2 linked regions of the Elephas maximus indicus genome follow. The protein of the gene in region 1 interacts with the protein of each later gene in a pairwise test. Links are inferred from orthologs where the notes say so. Each region holds a gene or a part of one and is shown in the gene's direction. Other genes may lie near its edges.

What was found.
Region 2: the proteins of PCBD1 (region 1) and TFF3 interact in binary tests that used the Homo sapiens proteins (3 or more experiments, as listed by UniProt). The two-hybrid records come from large-scale screens. The link is inferred for Elephas maximus indicus from reciprocal best matches to the Homo sapiens genes PCBD1 and TFF3.

Annotation. Positions count from the first base shown.
Region 1 is NC_064834.1:16,846,088-16,853,557, forward strand, and holds the start of PCBD1 (pterin-4-alpha-carbinolamine dehydratase), read left to right. Parts: upstream 1-4,458; 5' UTR 4,459-4,586; coding exon 4,587-4,589; intron 4,590-5,562; exon of another isoform or gene 5,563-5,784; intron 5,785-7,470. UniProt on the Homo sapiens protein: Involved in tetrahydrobiopterin biosynthesis. Seems to both prevent the formation of 7-pterins and accelerate the formation of quinonoid-BH2. Coactivator for HNF1A-dependent transcription.
Region 2 is NC_064820.1:226,085,116-226,092,518, reverse strand, and holds the start of TFF3 (trefoil factor 3), read left to right. Parts: upstream 1-4,383; 5' UTR 4,384-4,403; coding exon 4,404-4,485; intron 4,486-6,118; coding exon 6,119-6,265; intron 6,266-7,403. UniProt on the Homo sapiens protein: Involved in the maintenance and repair of the intestinal mucosa. Promotes the mobility of epithelial cells in healing processes (motogen).

The DNA of each region.
Region 1 (7,470 bases):
ACAGTACATGTGGCCTCTCCATGTGACCTGGGCATCTCACCACATGATGGATGGTGAAGCACAGTGAGCTTCTCTTATATATGGTCTTTCTGGCTTTGGGTTTATAATTCCACCAAAATGATTGGCTAGACCAAACTCTTGCAAAGGGATTGGTCAGTTTACTATGCAAATTCAGTGACTGTGGTCTACTGAGGGGACTGGTCAGTTCATGGTCTGGCTGGGAGGGACGTGCCTTGAAACTGAATATAAGAGCCAATCCCACAGAGGTTGGGGGGGACCTCACTACCATCAAGACATCAAGAAAAGCCTGGAGTGGAGCATGTTCTTTGGACCTGGGGTCCCTGCACCGAGAATGTGCTAGACACAGCATAGAGAGAGCTGTAATACTGAAGACAGTGTGAGATGAGGGGAGCTGGCAGCAAGCACAGCACAGCCCAGCAGCAGCGGTACCAGCGGGAACCAGGAGACCAGCACAAGGCGGTTGCAGTGTGCTTGACCACCCACTGAGTGAGAGGGAGCTGTAAGCCTTCAGGCAGGGGACTTGCTGGTGGAGCAGGGTATCTCCAGGCACTTGTTGGCAGAGCTAAAGAACTGTAACACTTGCCCACGCAGGACGGAGGCACAGAGAATGGACTTTGTACAGGCACAATCGAGAAGAATCTGAGCTATCTTGGCTGGAAGCTATCCTGATTACAGAACCATATCCTGTTTCCTGAGTTGTATCCTGTTACTTCCAATTTGATCCTGACCCCGAGTTGCAGCCTGTTATTTCCCAGACCGCATAATCATGAGTATGGTCTGTGAGTTCTATGTGGCCACTGTAATGAATTATGGAACCCTGCAGAGAAATAAAGGGTGCAGGGGCGGGGGTGGGGGTTGACGGCTGGTGTCAGAAATGGTGAAAAAGTTGGAGAGTGGAGGTATGTCTGACCTCCACTTCACAGGAACCAGCTTTGTGCTGACCTTGATTCTCATCTCTCCTCTTGAAGTTAGACGGCTTCTGATAGTTAGGTTACACATGGGTTCTGACAAGGAGCAGCTCAAAAGTGAGAATTCCAGGAGACAAAGCAGAATTGATAAGGTTTCTTTTGATTAAACACAGAAATCACATAGTGACACTTCTACCACATTTAAGTAGTTATACGGGCAGCCCAGATCCAGTATGGGAGAGAGCCACTCAGGGTGTGAATACTGGGAGTCAAGGCTCACTGGACAGCCATCTTTGAAAACAAGCTAACATAAAAAAAAAAAAAAACATACTAACTTACAAAAGGGAATCTTCATATGGTGGTCTTAAATTAGGTCCCTAGCTGGTACAAACAGTTTGCGCTCAACTGTTATCCTAAAGGTTGGTGGTTCGAACCCACCCAGCGATACCATGGAAGAAAAGTTCCAGAAATCTGATTCCGTTAAGATTAAAGTCAAGAAAACCCCATGGAGCAGTTCTCTTCAGTAACGCACGGTGCTACGAGTCAGAATAGACTCAATGGCAACCAGTGATGACAACAGGTCTTAAATTTATCTAACTGTAAAGTTAAGGGAAGAAAAGGTAGAAGAATATTTTTGTGACAGGAGTGGGAAAGGACTTATCGAATAAAGCTTCAAAAGCACAAAATCACAGGGCAGAGGAAAAAAAAGATGGATCATATTATATCACAATACAATATTTCTGGCAACGAAGGAAATCATGGAGAAGTTAGCATACAGATGGCAGGATTGAGGAGATACCTGCAGTATCTAAAACTGAGAGGCAATTAATGTCTAAATATAAACTCCCACAAATCAACTAAAAAAAGAGAGCATTCTACATTTTTTTAAATGGGCAAAGATATTAAAAAGCAATTTACAAACAGTAACCCTCAATACTAACAAGCTTATGAAGAGGTGCTCAAAATCATTCGTAATCAGAAAGGTGCAAAGTAAAACAGCGAGCTATCATTTTATACCTATTAGCCTGGCAAAAATTAAAATGCTGGATAATACCAAGTGTGAGTATGTTTGCATGAGGAACGTAGGGAAATAGGAACCCTCACACACTGCAGGTGAGAAGAAGGACTGGTACAGCCATCTGGACAGCATATGAAACTATTCTGGGATATATGTACCCATAAGAGGAACTGCTGGATTTATAGAGATGTATATATATCTAAGTCGTCTAAGAAACACTCTCACAGGCCAGGTAGCTATTAAAGGAGGATGTCCACTGCAGCATCATTTCTTGGTTGTTTTACTTAGTATGTGTGTGTGCATGTATTCAAGGCCTTGGGTAGTAGCAGTGATAATGGCAGACCGTTGGGGGCCAAGCTGAGTGTCCATCACTGGTAGAATAATACACAATGGTGGATTCTCACTATGGAATACTAAGCACCAGTTAGAAGCCACAGATTAAGTACACATAGAGCAGCATGAATGAATCTTAATTTTCCACTAAGCATTCTGTTTTGTAATGAACAGATTGATATATGTAATGCAATACCATTTACATAAATTGAAAATACATACAGATGAAACAATATGCATTTTGCAAGGATATGTACAACAAAAACACACATTAACACATAAGAAAGGTTGCTACTGGGGGCAGAGGAATAACAGTACAAGGATAAAAAGCTAATAGAAAAAAAAGTTAAATATTAGAGGATTTATATTACCCAACTTCAAGACATAATAAAGCAACAGTAATCAGACAGTGTGGTATTGACGTCAAGATAGACAAATAGATCAATGAAACAGAATAGACAGCCCAGAAATAAACTCACATATAAAGGGTTAACTGACTTTTTTACAAAGGTACAAAGGCAACTCAGTGGAGAAACAATTGGATATTGATATACAAAAAGTGAATTTGGGTCCTTAACTCCCAGCATATAAAAAAATTAACTCAAAATGGATCATACACCTAAATGTAAAACTGAAAACTATAAAACTTCTAGAAGAAAACATAGGAGAAATGTGACCTTAGGTTAGGCAAAGATTTTTTAGCAACACCACCAAAATAGCAATTCACAAAAGAAACATTTGACAAATTGAAGTTTATCCGATAAAATTAAGAACTTTTGCTCTTTGAAAGACACTGTAAGAAAATGCAAACAAAATATTTGCAAACCATATATCTGATGAAGTTCTCGTATCCCAAATAAAATACTCTCAAAATTCAAAAAGGAAACAATCCAGGTTTTTGTTTTTTTTTTTAATGGGCGGGAAATTTGAACAGGCAATTCACCAAAGATTTACCTATGGCAAATAAGCACAGGAAAAGATGTTCAATATCATTAGTCCTTAAGGAAACTCAAAACCACTAGACACTAATTAGAGTGGCTAAAATGAAAGGAACAGACCATAGGAAGTGTTGACAAGGATGTGGAGGAACTGGAACTCTCCTATGCTGCTGCTGAGAATGTAAAATGATAGAACCACCTTGGAAAATAGCTTGGCAGTTTCCTAAAAAATTACAAACAGACCTAGTCACAATTCCACTCCTAGATATTTAGCCAAGAGAAATGAAAGCATATACCCATACAATGACTTGTACACAAATGGTCAGAGCAGCTTGACTTGTAATAGCCCCAAACTGGAAACAATCCAAATGTCCATCAACAGATGAATGGATAAACAAATTGTAGCATATCCATAGCATGTAATACTATAAAATAATTTTTAAAAATTATTTACAATAAAAAGGAACTATTGACACATGCTGGCTTTCTGAATGGTGCAAATAGCTTGCACTTGACTACTAACTGTTGGAATCCACCCAGCGTTGCCCAGGAAGCCCTAAGATTACAGCCACTGAAAACCCTATGGAGCACACGGGGTTTCCACGAGTCGACTTGACCGTAATAGGGTACTGAAAGATGCAACAACATGGACGAGCCTCAAAACAATTATGCTGAGTGAAAGAAGTCGGACCAAAAGAGAGAGAGAGAGATTATATACTGTATGATTCCATTCACGTAAAATTATAGAATATAGAAAATACAAATTAATCTACAATGACGGAAAGTAGATCAGTCGATGCAGGTGCGGGAAGAAAGGGCCTACAAAGCGGCAGGAGGAACTTTTAGGGATGATGGATATGTTCATAGTTTGATTGTGCTGATGGCTTGACGGTGGCATACATACCTCAAAACTTCTCAAATTGTGCCCTTTGAATATGCGCAGTTTAACGTATGTCACTTACACCTCAAAGTGCTTGTAAAACGGAAAAGGCGAGGTCATCCTGTGTCTAGGATCACGCAGCTGCTAAGCGGCAGAGCACGGTTCAGACGCAGAAGTCTGCGTTTGAAGCCCGGGTTACCACTCCCCAAACTCCTTGGAGCAACCGCACCGACGGCGGCGCTAAGAGGAAAGGCAGGCGCTGCAGGGACGCCGAGCCCCGGCGGGTGCGCCGCTGTGAGCGTTAATCATTACCTGGGTCGGCCGCTCCGGCGCGAACGGAAAGGCGGGCCGCGGGCTCCACCCCGGTCGGGGGCGGGCCGGGGACGGCCCGAGCGGGTTCCGCCCGGCCGCTCGCCTAGTGCGCCTGGCCGCGGCGCTCGCCTCTCGGCCGGCCGCCTGCTGCCTGCCCGCGTCCAGCGCGCTCCGACATGGTGAGGGAGGGCAGGGCGGGCCGCGGGAGGCCGGCCGCCGGGGCTCGGAGGAGAGGAGGGGGGCAGCCGGTCCTGGCCCAGGCCCGCCGCGAGGCCGGGAGCCGAGGGGCCCCGGGAGCGGAGGGGCCCCGGCAGCCGAGGGGCCCCGGGAGCGGCCGGACCCGCCGCTCTCCGCGCTGCGAGGGTCGGCATTTCCGGGTCTCGGAGCGGCCGCCTGGAGTTCACGCCCCGCTCCCAGCTCCTGGGGGTGCACGAGGGGAAGCTGAGGCTCCCAGAGGGGCGGTGCAGGGCCGGGTAACCGCGAGCGGGAGCCCAGGCCTGGCTCTGACTTCCAGGCCAGGGCTCGCTCCGCGCCGCGGTGCTGGGGCGGGGCTGTGGGAGCAGGGAACGGGTGAGGCGAGGCGTCCTAGGGAGCCAGCAGTTGTCGTCCCCGTTAGTGGCACGTTTCTGTTCTCTTCTGGGGGGAGACTGAATTTGTGTGTGCTTGTGCGTGCGTGTGTACTGCCCCTTCTCGATTGCGCTTCTGACCTCACCTGGGTACAGCGTCTGTCTGGGACCAAGGCCCATCAGTGGAGGCATGATGGCCCAGGACCATTTAGTCCGGGCTGAGCTGTCCGCCAGGAGGGTCTGGGCCCTTGACTCAGCGTCAGCACTCCCACCCTCAGCCAGGGAGGTGACGGTGAGCCTGTGGGGGCATCAAGGAAGCTTTACTAGACACAGCCTATTTCGGCCCCAACACATTCGGGGCAGTGAGGACTGCGGTGACAACAGGGAGGGCCTTTTGAAAACTGTGGCTTGGGGGTGGGTTTGGGGGGCAGTGAGTAAGGCTGTTGTGAACTGCAGGAGGCCCCAGACACAGGGGGCGGGTAATCAGTATCCCTCTGCACACCCGCTTAGGCTGGAGGCAGAGTTCAGGCCTGACGGTGAATTTACTAATCAAACATGGCCCCTTCCCCCTCCCTGATCCCACAGGCTGTGGGCTTTGGGGGGTTCCAGAAGACTCTGAGGAGAGAGGGCGTTCTCCCAGGAACTCATCAGTCCCACCCACCCCTCTCAGAGCCAAAGGAGTGAACAGTGGATTTGGGTGCCTGGGCTGACTTCCGGCCATCTGGTTGCCTGGATACATGGACCAGGCTTATTAGCACTGAGAAGGGCAAGCTCCGGAATAGAGAGAAGGTTGCGTGGATGACGCCGAGTAAGCACTGCCATCTCGGTAACCACTGAAGAGGAGGAGAGGGGCCAGATCAGATCAGTTTGGCGAGGGAGGGGGGACACCAGTCTTCAGGAGAGAGGAAAAGATTGATCTATCAGTGCCTGGCAGTGCCCCTCCAGGCCTACCCAAACCCTGCCAGGCCCATTGCCAGCCCACTTAACCCAAGAAGTCTTTAGGAAATGCAGTAACAGTGCACTTTATCAAATTGTCCTGTTAACTCCTCGTGCTGATCTGTGAAGTGGAAGTTTTTGTCCGTATTTTCCGCACGAGTCCAAGAGAGGTGAAGTGCCACATGGCCGACAAATGGCAGAACTGGGGCTTGAACCTCTCCTGCCAGTTCAGCCCAGGGCTGTCAGGCTGAGGGTTGCAGACCACTTAACACCCCTCACATTCTCTCTCCAGACTTAGTGATTTTTTTCAGTTTAGTACTTTATCAGTTTCTGCCCTTGGGTGATTCTCTCTCTGGATTCTACATTCTGGGATCCCTTAAGCTCCTAGACCTAGACAGTAGAACTGACCTTTGCTTCATTTATTCTCTGAGGGGTCAACTCCTGGCCTGAATGGTGCCAGTCTGAGCCACCTGAGGGCACTTTGCACAATAGGTACATATGACAGGACCTGGGGTTCCAGGGCCATCTGTGATGGTGCCCATAGCCTCACGTCACCCCTCAGCATCCCATTACCCACCTGCCATACCCCACGCTCCAGGACCCAGGCCTGCAGTCAGCAACCAGCTGCTCCAGACTGTGTCCCATGCCTAAGGCTCTTCCCCCTCTGAGTAGCATGGCTCACCACCCCGTCAGTGTAGAGGGCAACTTCTTATCTTGGCTGAGCTTAAGAACTCCTTCCTCTAGGAAGCTGGTCCTGGTTTTCCTCTGGCCTCCCCACAGCATAATTGAACACTGCCTCCTTGAAGTCCCCACAGTCTTGCAGACAGACACTGGGGAGCCAGGCTGTGTGGGTAGGGGTTTATCTTGGCCTTTGGCCAAATGACTTCCATTTCGGGTCTGAACTCTGTGGCCCGGGCTTCAGAAGCTGCCAGAATAAAAAAAAAAGAAAAAACCCGTTGCCCTCAAGTTGATTCCGACTCATAGCAACCCTGTAGGACAGAGAAGAACTGCCCCATAGAGTTTCCAAGGAGCTCCTGGTGGATTCAAACTGCTGACCTTTTGGTTAGCAACTATAGCACTTAACCGCTACACCACCAGGTTATTCCCAGAATAGAAAAAAAATAAAAAAAAGAAGATGGAAAATCTGAGAAACTGAAGCCCAGCAGCTTCGGACTAGAAGCTGCGAGGTGAGAGTGACAGAGAACCTACTAGATATAGTGCCAGTGGTTGTCAACTGCAGTGTGCTAAGAATCACCTGGGAAACTTGTTTGAAATGGCAGTTCCTTCACCAGGCCCCCAGGAATGCCAATTCAGTGGTCAGGAGCAGGACCTAGGAATCTGCATATTTCTGCTGCAAGTGGTCCACAGACCACCCTGAGAACACTGCCTGCGCTGTCACTGACTAGGGGTAGGGGTGGAGGGAACAGCAGACAAGCCATTTCCCCTCCCTAGGCCTCAGTTTCCTTTTCAATATACCTAACAATGAGTAATAGCCGGGCCATGGGGGTGAACTAGAAAAGAAAGATAATAGAAAGGAAAGCTGGAGAGTTGGGGGTAC
Region 2 (7,403 bases), on another chromosome or scaffold:
AGAGTTGCAGCTGTGGCATTTGGGACCTCACAGCCTGCTTTTTGAGCCCCTCCAGGAGACTCCCTTCCCCCAGGTACCAGCTCATGAAGCCTAAGGTGGGAGGGTTTTCAAGGCTAGGTTCCTGGGTAGTCCATGCTCACAGCTGGGAGATTGCTGGAGAGACGCCTTGCTCAGGGGGAGGAAGGAGCCTGTGTTTGCTCACCCCAGATCTCAGGGCACCTACACAGCCACCTGTCGGATGGGGCCCGAGGTCCAATACTCCTCAGGCCTCCAGCTTTACTTCCTCCCTGGAGCTTCAGTTCCCCCAGGAGAGCAGGAAGGCCAGGAAGGCTCCAGACTTTGGGCCCCTGAAGGCAGGGCTGTCCTTACCCCTGGTTTCTGCTGCTGGTGACTGGCAGGGCCTGGGCCCCTGATAAGGCCTCACTGGAACCTAAAAGACTGAACACACAGACAGGAAGAAAAACAAATTGTTGCCATTGAGTTGACTCCAACTCATGGCAACCGCATGTGCGTCAGAGTAGAACTGGGCTCCAGAGAGTTTTCATGGCTGATTTTTTGGAAGTAGACCTCCAGGCCTTTCTTCTGAGGTATCTCTGGATGGACTCAAACCCCCAACCTTTCAGTTAGCAGCTGAGTGCTTAACCGTTGGTACCACCCAGGGACTGCTGCACCCATGAACACTTACTCACTTGCCTCAGTCTCCAAAAGCCCAGCTCGAGCACCTTTCCTCTACGAATCCTGTGCTGTTTCCACCTGGTGGGGTTCATCTCCATCCTCCCCACGCCCACCGTGTGTTAGTCTGCCAGAGCCGTGTGTGGTGTGTCAGTGACGCTGTCTCTGTCTTCGCTGTCACCCCTGTCCTGACAAGTGGTCGGTGTGTGTCTCCAGCCCACCCTGGCTCCAGAGATCTCACCACAGTCCTGTGGGGAGGGACTAGTCCACAGGCAAGGAAACTGAGGCACAGGCAGGTGATGATGTGACTTGCCCAAGGGCATGCAGTCCAGGGCTTGGAACCAAGTCTCCCAGTATCATGATCGCAGTTATGACATGACACTGTCTCCGCTGCTGTGGCTTTGAGGACAGGAGTGTGTCACCTCTGTTATTCCTTCCCCAGCCCCAAGCTCCAGGCATTGCCAAGTAGGTGCTCAGTCAACATATCCTGAGTTACCAGAAGCATACACCGGGGCAGTGGCCCTCAGGCTGGGTGGGCAATGGGCTGGGCCCCCCTTCAGGGACTCTGAGGTACCTGGCCTCAGAACCAGGTGTTCCAGCTCTCCTGGTGACTCTAAGCAGTGGGCGCAGGGGGAAGGGACACCGCTCCTGGAGACATTCTCTGCTTCGCAGCCTGAAAACAACCTTCCACCTGCTCCCCCGACAACAAGGGCTGTAGGTGCACCAGCCGGTTTCTGGTACTGATGTTTTCCTGGGACCAGGTCCAGGCCCACCTGTTGCCTGGCCTCTGAGTATTGAGGGACGGGGATGGCAGGGGTCTGGTAAGAAAAAGCACCCAGGAAATCTCCCCTGTGAGGATCTTTCTAATAACATAAAACCATGTTAGATCTTAGCCTCAGTTCACTATCTTCCCTTGGGGACAAAGAAAATGCCCGAAAACAGCGCAGAAATCACTCTTCCTTTCTTCTCTACTTCACTTGCCCTAAGAGGAGTGGTGAACCAGGTGGTGAGTGTTGACTCATATCAATTCACGGAAGGCTTACCGAGTGTCAGGGGTGGGCGTGGATCTCTGAGTACTTACCGGGTGCCAGGGTAGGCGTGGGTCCCTGAGGACTTATTGAGTGTCAGAGGTGGGTGTGGGTCCCCGAGGGTTTAGTAAGTGCCAGGGTAGGCGTGAGTCCCTGAGGACTTATTGAGTGTCAGAGGTGGGTGTGGGTCCCCGAGGGCTTACTTAGTGTCAGGGGTGGGCGTGGGTCCCCGAGGGCTTACTGAGTGCTGGGGGCAGGCGTGGCTCCCTGAGTACTTACTGAGTGTCAGGGGCAGGCATGGCTCCCTAAGGGCTTACTGAGTGTGAGGGCAGACACAGGCTACATGAGGTGGGACATGTCCCTGTTCCCGAAGCATTTACAGTCTGGCTCCCAACCATCATTCAGTGAAGGACGGCTCTGTGGTCCAACCTGGGTAGCTCAGATTCTCCCCACTCCCCTACAATGTACCAGGAGTCTAAGCAGGAGCTGCCAGGTGCTCCAGTTCCTGGGATGATGTACAAAACCTACCTGGGGGATTTTCCAGTGAGGTTCCCGGAGGAGTCCCTGAGCAACCTGATTAAGCGAATACAGAGAAACCTGTGAGAGCCAGAACTCGACGGGACTGCCTTGTTTTCTTCCAGGACTCAAAAGGCTTCTGCCTCTGACAGGGTTCAATTAACCACTTTTCTATCTCTCTGCATTAATGGAAAATATTCTAGGTTTCCTTTTCTGACAGGTTTCTACCTTAGACAGGTTCTGCCTTTCGCAGGTTTCCTGCACATAGGTAAGAGTCCCCAAGCAGTAGAGAAACACAGAGAACACAATGATAACTAGGGTTCCACAGTTTCCTGGGAATGAGGTCCCCCGTTCTGCCCAGTGCGTAGGTGGTACAGGACTATGAACAGAAAGAGTTAAGACAGAAGAGAGTTGAATCCCAACTCTTATGAATCTACTGGGTAAACTTAAATTTTGAGCCTCAGTTTCTCCCTTCAGAAAATGGGTATAATTATTTCCGTCTCATCTAGATATGCCGCTGGGAAACAATTTCCAATATAGATATGCAATTTAAAAATGCAAATTAGGGGAAGGTGTATAGTAAGGTTCCATTTGTGTTAAAAATGTACCTAAACAAACAAACAAAAAATTGCCATTGTCTCGATTCCAACCCATAGTGACCCTATAATGACCCTACAGGTTTCCAAGGAGCGAATGGTGAATTCGAACTGCTGACCTTTTGGTTGACAGCTGAGCTCTTAACCGCTGTGCCACCAGGGCTCCAAAAATGTACCCGAATCTAGATAAAAGATTTCTGGAAGGCTAGCTAAGATGGTGGTAAAAATGGATATCTCTGGACAGGGGGTCTTTTGAACTGTTGGATTTACAAAAACCAAGTGGGTGTGTTATACTTTAATTAAAATGTACCTAATAAGTTTATTTTTTAGAGTCCCTGGGTGGTACAAATAGTTAATGCACACAGCAGCTGACCGAAAGGTTGGTGGTTCAAGTCTTCCCAGAGGTGCCTCAGAAGACAGGCCTGGTGATCTACTTCTGCTGAATCACCCGCTGAAAACCCTGTGGGGCACAGTTCTGCTCTGACACACACGAGGCTGCCAGGGGTAGGGAGTCAACGGGGTGCCAACTGGTGTTAATAAGTTTATTTAATACATTTATTAAGATACGGTTAAGAACATAAATAATTTTTTCTGGAAAAAAGAAAAAAGAGGAATTTCTGCCTTTGTCTTAGTCATTTAGTGCTGCTATAACAGAAATGCCACGAGTGGATGGCTTAACAAAGAGAAATTTATTCTCTCATAGTCAAGTAGGCTACGAGTCCAAATTCAGGGCTTCAGCTCCAGGAGAAGACCTTCTCTCTCTGTTGGCTCTGGAGGAAGGTCCTTTTCGTCAGTCTTCCCTCGGTCTGGGAGCATCTCAGTGCAGGAACCTCAGGTCCAAAGGACGTGCTCTGCTCCTGGCACTGCTTTCTTGGCGGCATGAGGTTCCCATGTCTCTCTGCTCGCTTCTCTCTTTTATATCTCAAAAGAGATCGGCTTAAGACACTACTAATGTCATAGACCTCATCAGTGTATATAATAGTATTTATATATAAAACTGCCGCTACTTCATCTTCTTACATCATAGTGATGGGATTTACAACACATAGGAAAATCTCATAGGATGACAAAATGGTAGACAATCATACAAGGGAATCAAGACCTAGCCAAGTTGACAGATATTTTGGGGGGACACAAGTCAATCCATGACAGCCTTCTAAGTGTTGTAAGAGAGAAATGAAATCCCACGTACCCAGCCTGCGGACATGTAGTTGTTGCTTTTCAAGTATCAGAGACTGAACTGGCCTTAAGTGACTGTGGGAGCTCTTGTTGTTGAATACGGAATGTCTCAGCACCTGTCGACTGCACGCTCCAGCCCCAAGTGGAGCCCTTATCATCTTCTCCCCGTCTTCCAGGTGGTGGTTGACACAGAGAGGCGTGATAACCCTGCAGGGAGTGAAATCTTGCCCAATCTTTCTGTCCTTCTGGAGACTTTAAAATCCAGTGTAAGAGCCAAGTAGGCGGAGCCGGAGGCCACAGGAGGAAACCCACCAGCAAACACCACTGGAGCCTGTGCAAACACAGGGGTATAAAGGTGTCTCAGGGCAGGTGTGCGCAGTCTCCTCAGCTTTGGTCCTGAGCCTGCGGCACCATGGAGGCCCGAGCGCTCTGGCTGCTAGCCATGGTCCTGGCCTTGGGGTTTTACAGATCAGCTGGAGAGTATATCGGCCTGTGTGAGTACCGCCTCTGGAAAGAGGGTCGCTGATGGGCATGGGGGACGTACAGTGAAGGAAAAAGACATGCAGAAACTCTAGGCTCAGGGGGCTTTCCGTGGCTTGAGAGCCAGGAGGATGCCCTCATTTAATGATGATCATTGTGAGATCTGCACGTTTTCCCACCATGAACTTACAGAGAGGGTCTTACTGTCCCATTTTGCAGACAAGGAAACTAAGGCTCAGGGAAGATTCAGAACTTACCTAAGGCAGCCCTCCCAGTCAGTGTCGCAGCCAGCCCCCAGTGGTCCCTCCCTGCCCACTATTCCAAGGCCTTTTTTGCCAAGGGTTTCTGCAGTGCAATCCATCTTTGGGCATCCTTTGAGCACATTTACAAAAAAGAAAGAAAGACAAGTGAAAATGATTATTTCTGGAACATTTTCAAAGCCTACATGAGAAATTAGAAGAAAGAACAGTTTTCATTGAGCACTTGCACTGAACTCCAGGTGGAGGTGTGGCTGTCCCCTTACCCAAGTTTGATGAGATTATGGTGTGGCTTTATCCAGTTATCACTGAGCAGGACCACAGGTAGTTGTCCCTAACTTAAGAATCACCTGAGAATTTTGAAAAATCCCAATGCTTAAGCCACAGTAGATGGATTACACCAGAATGTTTTGGTGGGAGCCAGACAGGGGTGGTGTTATGAAAGATTCACGAGTGGTCCAATGTGCAACCCAGTTTGGGAACACACCGGCATAAGAAATTCTGAACTGCAGCAATAGAAGATTTAAGAGATTTCGTGGGATTTCTGTTTTCCTGAAGGAAAACCCAGTGAGTTGATGAGATGAAGTGAACTTTGCTGAACACACGGGTGTATTAGACTTACCTGAAAAGTGAATATTGGAGGCTGAAAGTTGTATGGAGAAGCTGTGAGAAGCTGAACAATCTGGGGATGGGAGAACGGACAGGAGAAGTTAACCAGGCTCAGCATACTTGGTGATGTTCTCTAGCGAGTGTATAAATATTTGTCATAAAAAAGTCAGGGCAAGTTCTGTTTGGTAGAGCAGTGAAAGGAAACTTTGTTTCCTGGTTCAGGGGACCCCAGGTTTGCACAAGCCCCTCCCAGCTGGAGGGTACCCAGGCTGTATCTGATTTCCTGAGAAAGTGATATGGAACACGTTGAGTGAGACAGTCACTAGGCAACTTGCCAGACTTCCTGGGTCACTGAGGCTGCTGAACTTAGCATTCACAGATACTTTCCTTTAACCATTTACATGGTCCCTGGGTGGCGCAAAAGTTTTGTGCTCAGCAACTACCAAAAGATTCGTGGCTTGCACTTACCTAGTGGTGCTGTGGAAGAAAGGCCTATGAACTACTTCTGTAAAGATTAAAGCCAAGAAAACCCTGTGGAGCACAATTCTACTCTGTCACACAAGGGGTCACCATGAGTCAGAACGGACTTGATGGCCATGGGCTTGGTTTATTTACAGGGAAAGACAATATTGAGGGGCAGAAGGTATCACCATCATTTGAACTCAGGGCTGGTGGGTGGTGGGAGAGAGATGGTGGAAAGTGGAAAGTGGCAAAAGGGAGGGAACAAAGCAACCCAAACTTGTAAGTACTCCGGACACTGACTGGGCTTTGTCTGGAGCAGCGGCGAACCAGTGTGCTGTTCCGGCCAAGGATAGGGTGGACTGCGGCTACCCCCAGGTCACCCCAGAGCAGTGCAACAGCAGAGGCTGTTGCTTCGACTCCAGCATCCGTGGTGTGCCCTGGTGCTTCAAGCCTCTCCAGGAAACAGGTGAGCCCTGAGGACAGATGACTGCGCCTGGTCCTTGGGCAGCCCCATGCAGTGCCATGCCCAAGGGCAGCCTCTTCCTTTCTGGGCCCTGAGGTGATAAAGCGAGGTCTCTGGGAAGCTGTGTGCATTTGGTCCCCCAGGAGGACCTCCAGCACTGTTGCCGTCTGCTGGAGGAGGCTCATGTCGAAGGCTTGATGCGCAGGGCAGCCAGTGGCCAGCGACTGCCCCCTTCTCTCCCCTTACTCCATAAGCAATTATTTTAAACAGGTGCTCAAAGTTAAGGCATTAAGTTGATGGAAATAATTTAAAAACAATTCTAGAGAGAAACAGGAAATATGTAGACTTGGAAAGCTGGGCTGTCTTCTAAGGCCATTTCAAGCAAAGAAATTAACCCAGAGCCCCTTGGCATTTGTGGTGGACTCATGTCATCAGATAGCAGACAGAGGCAGTGCTGGGCAGGAGCCCCCCCTACCCCCATGGGCTGGGCCATATAGTGGGGTGACTGGTTAACACTGGGGAGCAGTGATCTCCCCAGTATGCATCTGTCCAGGGCCTCTTGCTCAGAATGGCCCACACTTGGTCCAAAGCACTGCTGCTGCCACCTTGAAATTCTTAACAATTTTTTCCCCATTCTACGTTGGGCTCCCGAAACTATGTCGCTGATTCTGGTCTTGCCCACCAAGCCAGGCGCAGAGCCTCGGTGAGCTGCGGCCAGGCAGTCTGCAGGTACCTCTGATGGTGCCTTCCTTTCCCTGGCTTTATCCCCAGGGCCCCTACACACCTTTCCGCCACCCTCGCCCACTCTGTCCCCTACTCATTCCCTTCCTTTTCCCCTTTCTCCCCCTCCATCCCTCAGCTGGTTGTGCAGTGGGCTACGGGGCAGTCATCCTGGGGACCCCTCCCTGGGCAGTCATGTACCTGTGCAAACAACAGATGGCCCAGCATGGGTGGTTCGCCGCCCTGGTGTCAACCAGGCCCGCCCACCTCATCTGGGGCTTGGGGCTGTAAGCCATCTGGCGTGTCTCAGTGACAGCTCACCTTCTAGGATACGCCTCATGCCCACATGTCCCAGGATCCCAGCTGGTCCTGACTCCTTAGGCACTGGTCAGGGAGGTCCCGCCCTGCCCCAAGGACTCTT